Saccharomyces cerevisiae S288C: one gene and its partners. Changing the gene in region 1 together with any one later gene gives a genetic interaction. Each region holds a gene or a part of one and is shown on either strand. Other genes may lie near its edges. The genes, in order: CDC42, PCL2, BUD6 and DAN1.

Region 1 (2,999 bases):
GAATTAAATGCCAGAAAAATGGAAATTTATTCTAGACAAAAATTGTTCGGCACCTCTACAGACGTTTAACGAACCTGGTCCGGCCTTTGAGGCGATCAAAAAAAGGCCCATTTTTGTGTTCCGCGTAATTGGTTTGCGCCTTTCCATGGAGCTTGGTGGGCGACATTCTCAAACTGGTTTCCTGATACATCATGCACGCCCGTAAAGGGTTTAAGTATTGATTGCTAGCCTGAATGTTTCATATGCATACCGTGTCTATGCAACGAATATATTTCAGAAAAAAGCACGAAAGCCAAATTTTTGATGTTAAGAGGTGTTTTTGCCCGTAAACGGAGAAGACGTGGTAGGACTCGCAAATGTCGCGTTTAGCGTTGAAGAACATGGAAGTATTGAACGTTTGGGGCTTGACGGCTCGACTTTTTTGCACTACTCCGCCTTGAACAGACGGATGATCCTGGCGCAAGAAACAAAGAGAATCAACTCTGAGCAAAGCGAAAAAATGAAATACAACGATAATAAAAGGATAGGAAGGTGTATATATAAGTTAATTTTAGATATAGATTAAGAAAAGATGGGCATATACTAATATGACTACAAAATTGCACATTTTTTACTTTTCTTGATAACAGGAGGCTCCAAGGCGGCCACGATAGCTTCATCGAATACATTCTTCAAACCGCGTTGTGTTAGTGCCGAACACTCGACATATTTTACTGCTTTCAGTTCTCTTGCTAACCTGGAACCTTGTTCTGATGTAATCGGACGTAATCTTTGTCTTTGCAACTTCTCGATGATTACCTTGTCATCCCTTAGATCAATCTGCGTACCGACGACCAGGCATGGTACACCTGGACAATGGTGATGTACTTCAGGGAACCATTTTTCTTTAACGTTTTCAAAAGAGGGTGGGGAAATAACACTGAAACAAACCAAAAATACATCAGTAGAAGGATATGACAAGGGTCTCAATCGATCGTAATCTTCTTGACCGGCCGTATCAAACAAACCTAACGTATATGGTTCATCACCAATCATCACAGTCACCGCATAGTTATCGAACACTGTTGGAACATAGTCGGCTGGAAATTGATTCGTTGTATAGGAGATTAGAAGGCACGTTTTCCCAACAGCACCATCACCGACAACAACACACTTTAGCGTTTGCATTTTGTGGAAGAGCTAATACGTTTATTTCTTGTTTTATAAGTTTTGCTTCTCTAATTCGTTTGTTAACCTATCTCCTCAGGAAAATAGAATAGTATAATAAATAACGAATATAATTTTTTGCGACAAAGGAAACCTATTGCAAAAAGTGAAGAATGACAGAGAAGGATAATCAGTATATCTCGGTACACCTGGAACCTATTTATCAAAACGCTGCTCTTGCCTTTTCCAAGAATCGCGTCTATCATCGATCAATCAACCTTGTTTGCTTTTTTTTATCACTTTTTCCCGTATCTTGTTTCATTTGGAAGGGCCCAATGGAAGCAGTATTACCCGTATTGAATGACCCTTGAATCGACGGTGGAAGACATCTTTAATGCGATGTTTAGAAGACAATGTGCCGTATTTACCTGTATATGTGGATTATCTAACAGTCTACAATACAAAATTAGGTGTAACGTAGCTACAACAGTTGATAGAAATAATGCAACTTTTTTTAAAAAAAAAAGAGAAAGTGCTCGAGGTGGGGATTGAACCCACGACGGTCGCGTTGCTTTTAAAGGCCTGTTTGAAAGGTCTTTGGCACAGAAACTTCGGAAACCGAATGTTGCTATAAGCACGAAGCTCTAACCACTGAGCTACACGAGCATTTTCGAAAGAGACGTAAATTAAATTGTTATTTATACCGTAGATGATTGTTTTTCACGAAATTACCCTTTTGAGTTCCGGCTTGTTTCGTTCAACAGTACTACCACTGATAAGTTAGCTTCATTATTGGAAGAAGGTTGATAAATGAAAGAAGATTCACGACTATGCACGGCAACTGGTAAGTAATACACGGGCCCAGATATTTATTTTAATTCTTGGAAAGAAAGTATAAATTTATAGGTTCGCTATCAGTAAGTATACGAATTTCAAACTACGTCATATATAATATCCAAAAGAAGATGAAGGCGATGCGGTCACTCTAGGACTACAACTTATCCATCGCCTCATTTAGTGCATTCACCGCAATGTATACATCTGAAAATGTATTATATAAGGGAGCAGGAGCCAATCTAATTACGTTTGGTCTTCTTGCATCGCCAATGACACCATGGTCATGCAAATATTGGAAAACTTTGGGCATAATATCCTCTTTTCCAGTGTCAGAATCGAAGTAAAGTGACAATTGGGCGCCATGTTCTTCATCTGTGCTTGTTGGAGTTAATATTGTAAAAAAACATGGTAATTTCTCGATCCTTAAAGGGTGTTTGTAATACTTGGAGGCTTCCAACAGTTCCGTCATATAGTTCGTCAGCAACAACGATCTTTTACGAACTTCATTAATACCATTAAACTTCGCAAATAATTCCAATGAACTTCTCAATGCCACTGTGTCAATAACGCTTGGATTAGATTGCCTGAATCCCAATGCTCCTGGAATCGGCTCGAATACTTCCAGCATTTGAAATCGCTTAGCAGGATCATTGCCCCACCAACCAGCTAATCTTGGCAAACTTTCCTTAGCAGGGTCTGGTTTAGTATGCTTCGAGTGGACAAATAAGCCACCAATTCCACCAGGCCCGGCATTCAAGTACTTGTAAGAACACCAACAGGCAAAGTCAACACCCCAATCATGAAGTTGCAATGGGACGTTCCCTACAGCGTGTGCTAAATCCCATCCAACCAATATGTCGGGGAATTGGTGGGCAAATGAGGTGATTCGGCCAATATCGAAATATTGCCCCGTGTAATACTGAACACCTGACAAACAGACCAGCGCCAATTCATCTTGATTTACCTCTATGGTATCCAGGATATCTTGAGTTCTGATATAAGTCTCTCCCTCGCGT
Region 2 (3,557 bases), on another chromosome or scaffold:
TTAATTTCTTGGCAATTATACCGTTGGCAGCTATCTTGGCTAATGCCACGGAAGAGTTGGCTGATAAGGCTGGTAACACCATTGGGGGACTGCTAAATGCTACTTTTGGTAACGCTGTGGAACTAATTGTTTCTATCATTGCCCTGAAAAAAGGTCAAGTGAGAATTGTGCAGGCCTCGATGCTAGGTAGTCTTCTTTCTAATTTGCTGTTAGTGCTTGGATTATGCTTCATATTCGGTGGATACAATAGAGTCCAACAGACATTCAACCAAACCGCCGCTCAAACAATGTCCTCATTACTTGCCATTGCGTGTGCATCCCTACTGATTCCCGCTGCCTTTAGAGCCACCCTACCTCATGGCAAGGAAGACCACTTCATCGATGGAAAAATATTGGAGTTATCCAGAGGCACCTCTATTGTTATTCTCATCGTTTACGTTTTGTTCTTATATTTCCAGCTAGGGAGCCATCACGCCTTGTTTGAGCAACAAGAAGAAGAGACCGATGAAGTTATGAGCACCATTTCCAGGAATCCACATCACTCTTTGAGTGTCAAGTCATCATTGGTGATACTTCTAGGTACAACTGTGATCATCTCTTTTTGTGCGGATTTTCTAGTCGGTACGATAGACAACGTTGTTGAATCTACCGGGCTATCTAAAACATTTATAGGTTTGATTGTCATTCCTATTGTGGGTAATGCCGCAGAGCATGTCACTTCAGTCTTGGTGGCCATGAAGGATAAGATGGATCTGGCGCTAGGTGTTGCCATCGGTTCCTCTTTACAAGTTGCCTTATTTGTTACACCATTCATGGTTCTTGTGGGCTGGATGATCGATGTTCCAATGACGCTAAATTTCTCCACTTTTGAAACCGCTACTCTTTTTATTGCTGTTTTCTTATCCAATTACTTAATTCTCGATGGTGAGTCAAACTGGTTGGAGGGTGTCATGTCTCTAGCTATGTATATTTTGATTGCAATGGCATTTTTCTATTATCCAGACGAAAAAACCCTTGACTCTATTGGAAATAGTTTATGAGTAAGAACAGTAGCGCAGAAATTCACCATTCTCTTTTTTTTTATATTTTATCTTCTTCGTAATTCTATCGATGGACCAATACAAAGATGATTATGACTAGCAAGTCATTATTATGATCGTTATATTATACATATTATGTTTACGCAACTAATTTTTATATCGAATTTTATCTGAAAAAAAGTTTTCAAAACCAACAAAATATTTTGTACACTCTTCGAAACTCAAATTCTGCACCATTTCCATTCTGATAAAAGGTTTAATATTTCGAAGCTTCTCAACTACAGCTCGTGTTCTTCTTGCAGCACATCAGCTGCTTTGCTGCACTGTTCAGGGTAACGTTATTCATTACAACGAGAATATTTAGGAATTTTGCTCAAATTCATGGAGCTTCCTACATCATTGCACAACAGAATTTCGTTTTGTAGTATAGTTTATTAGAAACAAATGTGAATAGATCATGAGACGCGAAGCCCTATTTTAGCGGATTTTAGCCTTACATTTCTGAGTGAGAATGCCAGCTGAAACACATTCTTGTTACATCTGTCACGGCATTCCAGCTGTAAAAAACCAGCAGATATCGCATAAAAAAATGGCCAGCTATAGAATAAAATTAGCCCAGCTATATTTTTATAGCGTCTTTTGATGACGCGAAAAGTAGACTTCGCGTAACACGAAAAATGCTGGTGCAGGTGGATTTTTTTGGCAGATACTACGGTCAATTCTCCGCTCGAAGATTTTTATAGGCCTGGCTAGTTACCTATTTAGTGCAAATTGGGAAGAGATCTATTGTTCCCGCAGACACGCTAAGTGGTAGCTGTAACTTCGGAGACGTGTGAGACCTTCCTCAAACATGTTACAGGTTGATCGATTTACACATCTAATGCAAGTTTAAGTGCTTCTTAAGTGTTTTTTTCTTTAGTCTTATAAGTTCTCCTTTCTTTCACTTTATAATTCTCCTTTATAAAAGTAAGACCCGGTGCTAAACAACCTGATCCGACAAGAGCAATTTCAATACGGCAGCAACTTTTTACTACAAAAGATGTCAAACTACGAAGCCTTGCTGAAATTCAATAGGAAGGCTGTATCTAAGGAAATGGTGCAATATCTAGCATCGACCACAGCTTCCATTATCAAAATTAAGAAGACGAATAGTATGATAGATATTGCATTGCCAGCACCACCGTTGACTAAATTCATCAACAGACTGATCAAGCATTCTAACGTTCAAACTCCGACTCTGATGGCTACCTCTGTATATTTGGCCAAATTAAGATCAATAATACCGAGTAACGTTTATGGTATAGAGACCACCAGGCATAGAATATTCTTAGGTTGCCTAATATTAGCTGCAAAAACGTTAAATGATTCCTCCCCTCTTAACAAACACTGGGCCGAATATACGGACGGCCTTCTCATCCTAAGGGAGGTTAATACTATTGAAAGGGAACTATTAGAATATTTTGATTGGGACGTCACCATTTCCACAGATGATTTAATTACATGTCTCTCGCCATTCTTGAAGCCTATCAAAGAGGAGCAGTTGTACAAATCGCAAAGAGACTGTCGCACGTTGAAAAATTTTTCTGCTCAAGAAAAAGACATAGTAAACAAAACATCCATTTCCCATTCGCGCTCATCGTCCAATATGTCTATCCCATCTTTAGCTTCCACTTCGACCCTCTCCACGTTGGAATCTAGAAGATCGAATTTATCCAATTATAGTAACAGAATACGAACTTTGCCCGAACTACACGAATCCAATAACATTAGCGACAAGTTTTCTCCGCGAACATACAACATAGACTCCAAACACGATAACAAGGAAAATAGGCCAATACCGACAATTAAGCCTTTTAATTTTAGTAAAGCGCGCCCTGTGATCTTGAAAACTGGGTTAAACAAACAGATAATAAAAGAAGATACAAAAGTAAAGAAATCGAATTGGTCAAATTACTTCAAATCGTGATTTTAAATGTCGAAATTATGCCTGGCCTGCGTTTCTTCATGGCACTTTCGGAAAAGGCGGAAGAACACAGGTAAATGTTCTTACGACCGAGGTCCTACAGCCTCCCTTTTTTCTTATTTTACATATTAATATACATAAATATACCATAATGCATTCTTTTTCTAATGATTTAGCTCTCCTTTTTTTGACAAATTTGAAAATAAATATAAAAAGGGCCATAAAATATTGAGTTAAAATTGACGATTTTTTTTATAGAAATGACTTGAATTTACGATTTAAAATAAAAATATACCTGGCATATAACTAACTATACAAATCATCATCTTCCTCCGCATTAGAACCAAATGCAGCACCTGCTCCACTTGGAGCACTATTATTACTGTTAGCATTGTCCGTAGCCGTAGTACCTAATGGAGCGTCATTAAAGTTGAAATTACTGAATTGACCTCTAGATGCTTTCATTTGCTGTGAGTATGCTTCATAACGACGCAATTCAGCATCTGAAACAGAACGTTTAGCGGTCTTCATAGCTTCTGCGAAATGCTCCTTTG
Region 3 (5,141 bases), 170 kb from region 1:
GATACCTTTATCAATGATTACTCTGAATATTTTCTGTAATGATGTAGCTATATCTGCAGGATTCAATTTTGATAGCAAGAAACTCTTGTCTGACAACTGGATCTTGAAGAAATTAGGTGGCTCAAAAGGTTTTTTTAGTAAAATTGAGTCAAGTACGACCATTATTGGTCCAAGCTCTTGATTGGAGTCTTCTTCCTCAAATTCCATGTCATGATTAATGCTGTCCCTATTACGTACATTTGGCTTTGTGAAAGCGTATCGGTTCGTGGGAACCTCTACAACAGTATTGAAAACTGGTTTTCGTCTCGATTCAAGATCAGCGGAGAAACTTGAGTATATAGGTGCTTTCTTCTTCCTTCTTTTTTTCTGTGGCTTGAGAGAAGAGCTGTCATCCTGTTCTAGGGATTGAGATTCTAATTCTTCAAAAAAATAATCATCAATTACATGATTCTTCTTAGAAACAAATGAAACTGGATTATTAGCTGCCAAATGAGATTTATGCGCTGACCGTTTTCCGACTTTGATAGCTTTTGTACTTGGGGCCAGACAAGAATTTCGATATTTGTACTTATATCTTCTCACTCTCTTACTTTTTGTATTCAAAAAGTTGGCATCATTGGTTGCTTTAATTCTTTTAGGTTTAACCAACATCTTGTCAATTATACCATCGTTATGCTCTTCAGCAGCATCTAGGGAAATTACACTTTGATTATCTTCGGCAGATATATTGTATTGCTCACTAAATCCGCTATCTGAATGCCGTGAATTCAAATAAATAATAGGCTGGTCTTTATAAGACACATGTGATATGCAGCTCCCCGGTCCGTCATATTCCAGCTCATACACTGGTTCATTGCGGTATTCCTCATTTAAATTAAAACCAGAAGTTCCAGCCGATTGTGCGTCTTCACTATACTTGCTCTCATAATATTCTTGCAATTCCTTTAATTCCTTTTCGTTAGCCTCACGATCCTCTGGAAGATTTCCTAAGTATATATCTGGAGGGGCGTTTTCCTCGATATCCAGTTCGTCATCAGGTGCAATAAGATCGTTCAATAAGTTCTGTTCTTCATCTTCAATATGGGCGCTTCTGTTCATTTTCCTCTTAGCCACACCCTTATGGTTCAATAATTGAGTTTTTCTTTTCGTGACTTTTGAAGACTGCTGCTTTTGCAACGACTTTTCCCAAGCAACTCTTGGCAGGACCCCACGGTAACCAGTTCTTACATTCAATACTCTTCCTCTAAATATTACTTCGTCATTTTGAGTATTCTGTAAATTTGTACTAGCCAAGTCTTGTTCATCTTCCGTAGAATCACCTGATTGAAATACTATATCCTGGTCGAGGTCTTTAAAAGTACGATGCCTTTTCTTTGGTATTTCTTCATCACTATCATATCTTTGAGATTGAACCGAGCTGTTTTCGGGTTTAATGGAGTCGATTGTAACATCTTTCTGCTCATCTAAGGGTTTACCAGTTCTCTTTGTAAGTAAAATATCATTTGAGTGAATCACTGTAGAAGCGTTCTTCGGTAAGGTCAACTGATTCGAAATGCTGTCAAAACTAGAGATATCATAGCCCTCTAGCAACTGCCTATGCTTTATGCGTTCTAAACTGTATGGCATCTTTTGAATAGCCTTCCTCTTCCTCAAAGACCACCGAAGCCCCGTAGTAACTTGTGTATCAGTTACTACGGAAGGAGTACAAGATTCTCCAGCAGTGGAATCCAGGCTCAACCTCTCAGTGACAATTTTCTGTGATCTGCTTGCTTCTTGGACGTTTTCCTCTGCCCATAAATAATTTTCATTGAATTCGGGTTCGTATATGATACTAATTTCCTCATCAGTGGCCTCAGAATCTGATATCACAATAGGATTCGGTTCATCAACATCCATAAGCTTATCTGCTGACGCTACCACTAAACTTCAAATCTACAATCCTATCTTTTATTCTTTCACTTCTTGAATTTAATTTTACACGCAGATGCGCTTTACTCTTTGAAGATATCTCGCTAGCCGAGCTGAACGAATTTTATCCTACTATTATGCATTCTTGAGATAATGGCATCAAAACAAACCCAAGAAAAGGGAAAAAGAGTAGAAGCTGGCTGCCAAATTGGTGTAGTAATCCTCGTATTATTTTAAAATTAGATGAAGATGGCCGTGGATGACCCTACGTATGGCACCCCAAAGATTAAAAGAACTGCTTCTAGCAGTAGTAGTATTGAAACGACAGTAACAAAGTTGCTGATGTCCACCAAGCACCTCCTCCAGGTCTTAACACAATGGTCTAAGGGGACAACCTCTGGAAGATTAGTATCTGATGCATACGTTCAGTTGGGCAATGACTTCAAAGTCGTATCGAAATTCTTCATGCATGCGAAAGTTGACATGTCAGATGTTGGTGATGTGCCAATGGCTTTAAGACGTGTATTGGAAGTGACATTGAGGGAACCACCATCTGATGAAACTTTAAATAAACATCTGCCAAAAATCAGAGAGATTATAGTGACACTTTTAGACAAACTAAAGGTTAAACAAGCAATTTTGAAGAATATGCAGCAAGAGCATCGGATAAGTGTAAAATCACATCATCAACAAAACCCTTCCTTTACTAGTAACCTTTCATTGGGTAGTGAAGGGACCCGTGAGGGGACTCCATTAAGTAGCAGAAAAAGCAGTATTGTACGTGATCAGAGGCAAAGCGATTCAGTCGAAAACAGCTATGGGGAAAAAGTGAATTCTACTTCTACGGGAACACCCTCTGCTCAGTCAGCAGAGGCAACATTGACAAAACCAAGAACTAATATTAAACAAAACCTTAAATCTAACAATGCTCCAAACGCATCTGATGATGATGATGCACTTTCACAATTGAAGAAGGGAACTAATTTACAAAGGAGAGCCTCAAAGAGATACTCTGCCTACCATATGGCTAAATTGACAAATCAGTCTACAACAGAAGCTGCTGCGGCTGCCGGCCTCATGACAACTCCTTCACCCTCGATGTTGCATCTAGAGGAAACCGTAAGAAAGTCAAAGTTATACGGAAATAACAACAATGATGATGATAGAAACATTAATTCAGCTGAAAATAAGGGTAAAAGCATTGACGATGTATCAAAGGCGAGTCCATTGGCGAAAACGCCATTGCCTATTGAGAATGTTCGTGCATCTCCACGAAGATTATCAAGCGTTGTTACAACTTCGCCAGATAAAGCCATGAATGGAACTTGTCCAGTATTTTTAAGGATAGGAGACAAAACAAAGAAGTGTCATGTGCAACTGCCTACTACAAAAAACGCATTAAGGCTCCTATTTATTGAGCGCTTTGCGTATTCTCCTGGAGCAAATTCCTTCCCAGACATATATATTATGGATCCTCAATATGGAGTATTCTATGAATTAGAGGAACTAAATCTTCTCGATATTAAAGAAGGGTTTGTTATCGAGCTAAAGCTCGAAGAGAATCCAAATAATACGATCAAGGAATTCATTGACACAGTTAAGATGGAGATATCGAATAGTCAGAATGATATAATAAGACATTTAAAAGAAATGAGTTTTGGTTCTGCAATTAGCGGCAAGCAAACGGAAGTTTTACCACAACCTGGCCTTGAAGCTAACAAACACGATCTTGTGGGGCAAAACAAAAAAGATGATGATAAAACGATCAAAGATATTCAGTACGAATTGGGGAAAATAAAACAAGTGCATAATATTAATAGGTCAAATATTAATGAGACTATTTTCAACATTTTACGAAAGGTCGATAACTTTAAGTCTTTATCATTTTCTGCCAAAAACTCTTCCAACAGAATGTACATGGAAAAATCACAGACCGAACTCGGTGATTTATCCGATACTCTGCTAAGTAAAGTAGATGATTTGCAAGATGTAATCGAAATTATGAGGAAAGACGTTGCTGAGCGTAGGTCTCAGCCCGCTAAAAAGAAGCTAGAAACCGTATCCAAGGATTTAGAAAATGCCCAAGCAGATGTACTTAAACTACAGGAGTTTATTGATACTGAAAAACCACATTGGAAAAAAACTTGGGAAGCTGAGCTCGATAAGGTCTGTGAAGAACAACAGTTTCTCACGTTGCAGGAAGAGTTGATTTTAGATTTGAAGGAAGACTTGGGTAAGGCATTAGAAACTTTCGATCTTATTAAGTTATGTTGTGAAGAACAAGAAAAAAACCCTTCGAGATCAAAAAGTAATCCTATTTTGCCTATTATGAGACCGGGCACATTTAATCAGGTAAGGGAGCAAGTTATGGTGGCCGTCCAATCTTTAAACCCTGACCACGATAGTAGGGTCGAAGCTATTGACAAGGCTGAGAAGATGTGGGAGATGGAAAGAAAACTTAAAGCTAGTAATGAATTTGATGATGAACTGGAAAATTTTGTGGGTAATTCAAACCTGAAAAAATCGGGAGGCTTTGAAGAAGTAGAAAGGATAAGAAAGCAGAAGGATGAAGCAAATTTGAGAGCATATTTTGGGCCGGGGTTTACTTAAATACACTAATTTTATGAAAGCTAACGGAAAAGAGATTAGTGCTTTTGGCTTATTACAAAGTTTGCGGCAATATTTTCCTTATCAGCATCATAAGCTGTCAGTATTTCATGTATTATTAGTACTAATTAACTATATGTATATATATATATATATATGCTTGCAAGTGTTGAATTTCCTTTCTCAAAAGAATGATATTATCTTTAAATTTTGATGTGTTTGAAGATAGGCTTTCCAAAAATCCATTCAATATGGTGAATCGTACCTCATACTCGATTAAAGGATCACATTTCGTAATTGGACAACCGCTGACTGTCATTTCAATGATGCGTTGTAAGAACGAATGAAATTGCATATTTTGCGTAACATTAATTGATAGATCCTTAAAAGCAGATTTATAACATTCCGAAATGTTCTTTACAACATGATCAATTTGCATGAGAACGGTGTTTGTTGAATTTAAATTTGTGTCAATTGTTTTATAAGAGATTCTAGTGTTAAACAGCGCTATTAAACTTCGAAATATCCCTTTACTAGATTTCGAACGGATATGGAAATTATTCATTGTGCTTGAATGTTTCCAAACTTCCAATTCTTTAACAAATATGTGCATTGCACAAAATTGA
Region 4 (3,748 bases), on another chromosome or scaffold:
AAGTTTTTTAATTTTTCTAAGAAAACATTAAAAATATCACAATATGGGCTTCAGCCTAAAATTATGGTTTTTTTTTTCCCTCATCCTTCATTTTATTACCTCCGTTTATTGACGTGTTCGACAACTCACATATGAAGCTTTAAATACTTTGTTCACTGTTAGTTTAAATAAAATTTAGCCTTTAGGTTAAAAATCGTGTCAAAAAAGGAATTCTTCCAAGAACATGAACTAAAGCTCTTCTTAAAATAAAGTTATGTAAGATAGAACTACGCGGCACAAAGATGGAATTGAGAAATAACGCTCCATAAAGTTGACGCTGCTAAATTCTAGGTCACAAGGCATTAGAAATGAGGGCCTTTGAAAAAATTTATTCAAGTAAACTGCTTTCTGAAGAGTTCGCTCTCATCGACATTGGTAGAAGAATAGTGTAGTGTAGTAGCAACCGTTAGTAGTTTATTAATGTCTAAAATTCAGTATAACTAAGAATAGAAGCAAGTATTCTTATACGGTATAGCAGAAACGTATAACTGATGCGGCGATGACGAATGTATTCAAAATGATGGTATTTCAGTGATTTGCTATATTTCCAATGTAATAACTCGCATCCCTACGTATATTAAATTTGAATTAACATTGAATTAATAGATCTTTAACGTAACTTCTTCCGCTAGTTTCGCAGTAGTATCTTGTTTCCTAGCCTGGAGCTATGAAGTATACTGTTTGGTCACTTTATTCAGTTACTATGGTTACTAAAATTATAAACCACCCGTTCCGACAACGACAATGAAGATCTATTTTGCAAATTTGGAACAGAAATAACCATAACCATGAGGTTCGTTATCGTTGACTACATATTACAATCCGAAATGAACATTCGGCCTAGAATGCATTGTACCTTTACAATACTTTGTAAAACATCTTTCAATGTGTATTTTCCTAGCTTAGGTAACACAACTAGGTAACTTATTGGGATGGTTGAGTCTTAAGTGCAGGCCATTTATTATCAATACTGAATCTTGTATGTTTTTGTCAACTCTTGACAGAAAGCTTCAGTCAGCGAAGCAAACTTTCGACCTTCTGTATCATATTTTTCTGCTCTATTTATAGCGAAAGAGAGAAGCCTACAAGAGGATAAGTACTAATCTTGTGATTATTGATTTTCTCCAAAGATTGGGAAAATTACTTAGTTGCACAGCGGAAATGTTTCGATCTCTGACTTTGTAATCGTCAAAATATTCTAGCAGAGCGCAACTTATTTAATTCATACTGTGCGTTCTCCTTGTGGTTTCTAAGACAATCTTTGAGCATGTTTATGGATGCACTTAGGGGTCCTACAAGCCTTCGTATGAAGTTGCCCCTCGCAAGCACACTATAAATTCATGAACAATTGCGCAGTCAAAGTTAGATTGTAAGCCGAATTCAAACGATTTCAACAGTCGTAGCTAACGAGGCCTTTTGTCTCACACCCTTACAAAGGGACTGTAGAATGCAAGGGCAAACAGGCCTGAGGTAACTTTAAAATATAATGTACCTTGAAAACTATGTATACATTGCATTTATTAAGCAGTAGGGTATTTTGTTTGCAAGAAAATAAAGCTCAAAATATCTTTGGAGTTTGACAATAGTATAGAAAAAATAGCTCAGCAACCTTAATAAAAAAAGGGTCATTGGGCAAAGCGTTTTAAAAAGATTTAAGTGGTAGTGTTTAAAGTGAAAGAGATTGATATAGTTAAAAATTGTTGAGCTCAATTCACGCTGGATTCGGCGATCCGTTTTCTTCAATCCTCACGTGCTTTCTTCGTTTGAGTGCAAAAGTTCATATGATGCTATCTCCCGCTTATCTTATTAGTCGAAAATGGGGAGAATTTCCTATTTTATCTGTCGTTTAGCACATATGGCCAGGAAAATACATAAGGTTTCGCCGAACGACGGGGTCAATTCGTCCTTTTTGTACACATCGTTTAATTTATGAGGAAAAATTGATGAATGTATCCTCCGTAGACGCTCCTCTGAAAAGTTTCATGTTTCCTGCGCGTTCCTTTGATAGGCAATAAAACAATACAACGCGTGCCTTTGAAAATGCCAAGATCTATACGAGGCCTCTAACAAAACATCGTTCAGGAACAGAGAATGCTAGAAATGCAAAAGGGTCCCTGGGTACTCATTGAATAGAAATGATTGAAAATACTGCGTATAAAATAGCACGACTAAATGATACTATTTTTATGTCGACACGGTACTATTTCTTCTTTTTCAGATAAAAGTGTAGCATACTAAATATATACCCCAAGTAATGTCTAGAATTAGTATATTAGCTGTCGCCGCAGCATTAGTGGCAAGTGCAACCGCCGCATCCGTGACCACCACTCTATCCCCTTATGATGAAAGGGTCAATTTGATTGAATTGGCTGTTTACGTTTCTGATATTGGCGCCCATTTATCTGAATATTACGCTTTCCAGGCTTTGCATAAGACTGAAACATACCCACCTGAAATTGCCAAGGCTGTTTTTGCCGGTGGCGATTTCACCACCATGTTGACTGGTATTTCAGGTGATGAAGTGACCAGAATGATCACCGGTGTGCCATGGTACTCTACTAGATTGATGGGTGCTATTTCCGAAGCACTTGCGAATGAAGGTATTGCTACTGCAGTACCAGCTTCTACCACAGAGGCTTCTTCCACCTCCACTTCAGAAGCTTCTAGTGCCGCCACTGAGTCTTCTAGCTCCTCTGAAAGTTCAGCAGAGACCAGCTCAAACGCTGCTTCCACCCAAGCTACTGTTTCATCTGAATCTAGCTCTGCTGCAAGCACCATTGCAAGTTCTGCTGAAAGTTCTGTTGCAAGCTCTGTTGCAAGCTCTGTTGCAAGCTCTGCTAGTTTTGCCAATACCACAGCTCCAGTTTCTTCTACATCTTCTATCTCAGTCACTCCAGTGGTCCAAAATGGTACTGACAGCACCGTCACAAAGACTCAAGCTTCCACTGTTGAAACTACCATAACTAGTTGTTCAAATAACGTCTGTTCAACTGTGACTAAGCCAGTCTCCTCCAAAGCTCAATCTACAGCTACTTCTGTCACATCGTCAGCATCTCGTGTTATTGACGTTACCACTAACGGTGCTAACAAGTTCAATAACGGTGTTTTCGGTGCCGCTGCTATTGCTGGTGCCGCCGCTCTATTGTTATAGTGATCATGTGCGGCCCTGTACAGTTGTATAAATGATGTAAAATAATTGAATTCTCTTAATTTTAATATTTATAAGATATATACTATAAGCGTAAGGAAATTCCAAAGAAATTTGTTTTTTAGTTTGCAGTCTTGTGCTCCAACTATTTCCGGTCCTTTTCGAATTTCATGTCAGGAGCATTCCTTATTGCAGACAGCTTAACAGAAAAAAAACTGTGAAAAAAATAAATACCTTTAGATATTAAAGCCCTAAATTGATATCAAATTTTTTCCATATTTGGATTTTGTATTCCTTAAAGCCCACATCCTGTGAACGGTTACGCTCAAATAATGGCCAAGTAACCTACGATCCAATAGCGACGTATATATATCATATAGAAAAAGGTCATCCAGAAAATTTGTGTCAATAAGTATCAGGTCTTTTATATGTATTTATATTATTTTCCGTCAATTTTCAATCTTGCGCCCATAGTTTCAATTTTCTTGTCTGTTGTGATTCCTGATTGGACATTCTGAAATCCTTGTCCAGCTAAAATAAAGTTAGCCAATTCTGGATACT

What was found.
Region 2: mutations in CDC42 (region 1) and PCL2 are lethal when combined (synthetic lethality), as found in Saccharomyces cerevisiae (2 studies listed by BioGRID, with this or other methods).
Region 3: mutations in CDC42 (region 1) and BUD6 are lethal when combined (synthetic lethality), as found in Saccharomyces cerevisiae (2 studies listed by BioGRID, with this or other methods).
Region 4: mutations in CDC42 (region 1) and DAN1 together harm fitness more than expected from each alone (negative genetic interaction), as found in Saccharomyces cerevisiae (2 studies listed by BioGRID).

What each region holds. Positions count from the first base shown.
Region 1 is NC_001144.5:603,621-606,619, forward strand, and holds CDC42 (Rho family GTPase CDC42), read right to left. Parts: upstream 1,168-2,999; coding exon 592-1,167; downstream 1-591. Other genes in the region: BNA5 (kynureninase), read right to left, coding at 2,138-2,999. UniProt on the Saccharomyces cerevisiae protein: Involved in development of cell polarity during the cell division cycle, and essential for bud emergence. Affects signaling in the pheromone-response pathway through the STE20 protein kinase.
Region 2 is NC_001136.10:232,848-236,404, forward strand, and holds PCL2 (cyclin PCL2), read left to right. Parts: upstream 1-2,079; coding exon 2,080-3,006; downstream 3,007-3,557. Other genes in the region: VCX1 (Vcx1p), read left to right, coding at 1-1,040; AAA family ATPase CDC48, read right to left, coding at 3,310-3,557. UniProt on the Saccharomyces cerevisiae protein: G1/S-specific cyclin partner of the cyclin-dependent kinase (CDK) PHO85. Essential for the control of the cell cycle at the G1/S (start) transition. Together with cyclin PCL1, positively controls degradation of sphingoid long chain base kinase LCB4.
Region 3 is NC_001144.5:768,695-773,835, reverse strand, and holds BUD6 (formin-mediated actin nucleation enhancer), read left to right. Parts: upstream 1-2,151; coding exon 2,152-4,518; downstream 4,519-5,141. Other genes in the region: MMS22 (Mms22p), read right to left, coding at 1-1,896; EST2 (telomerase reverse transcriptase), read right to left, coding at 4,640-5,141.
Region 4 is NC_001142.9:708,253-712,000, reverse strand, and holds DAN1 (Dan1p), read left to right. Parts: upstream 1-2,293; coding exon 2,294-3,190; downstream 3,191-3,748. Other genes in the region: YJR149W (putative nitronate monooxygenase), read right to left, coding at 3,627-3,748. UniProt on the Saccharomyces cerevisiae protein: Component of the cell wall.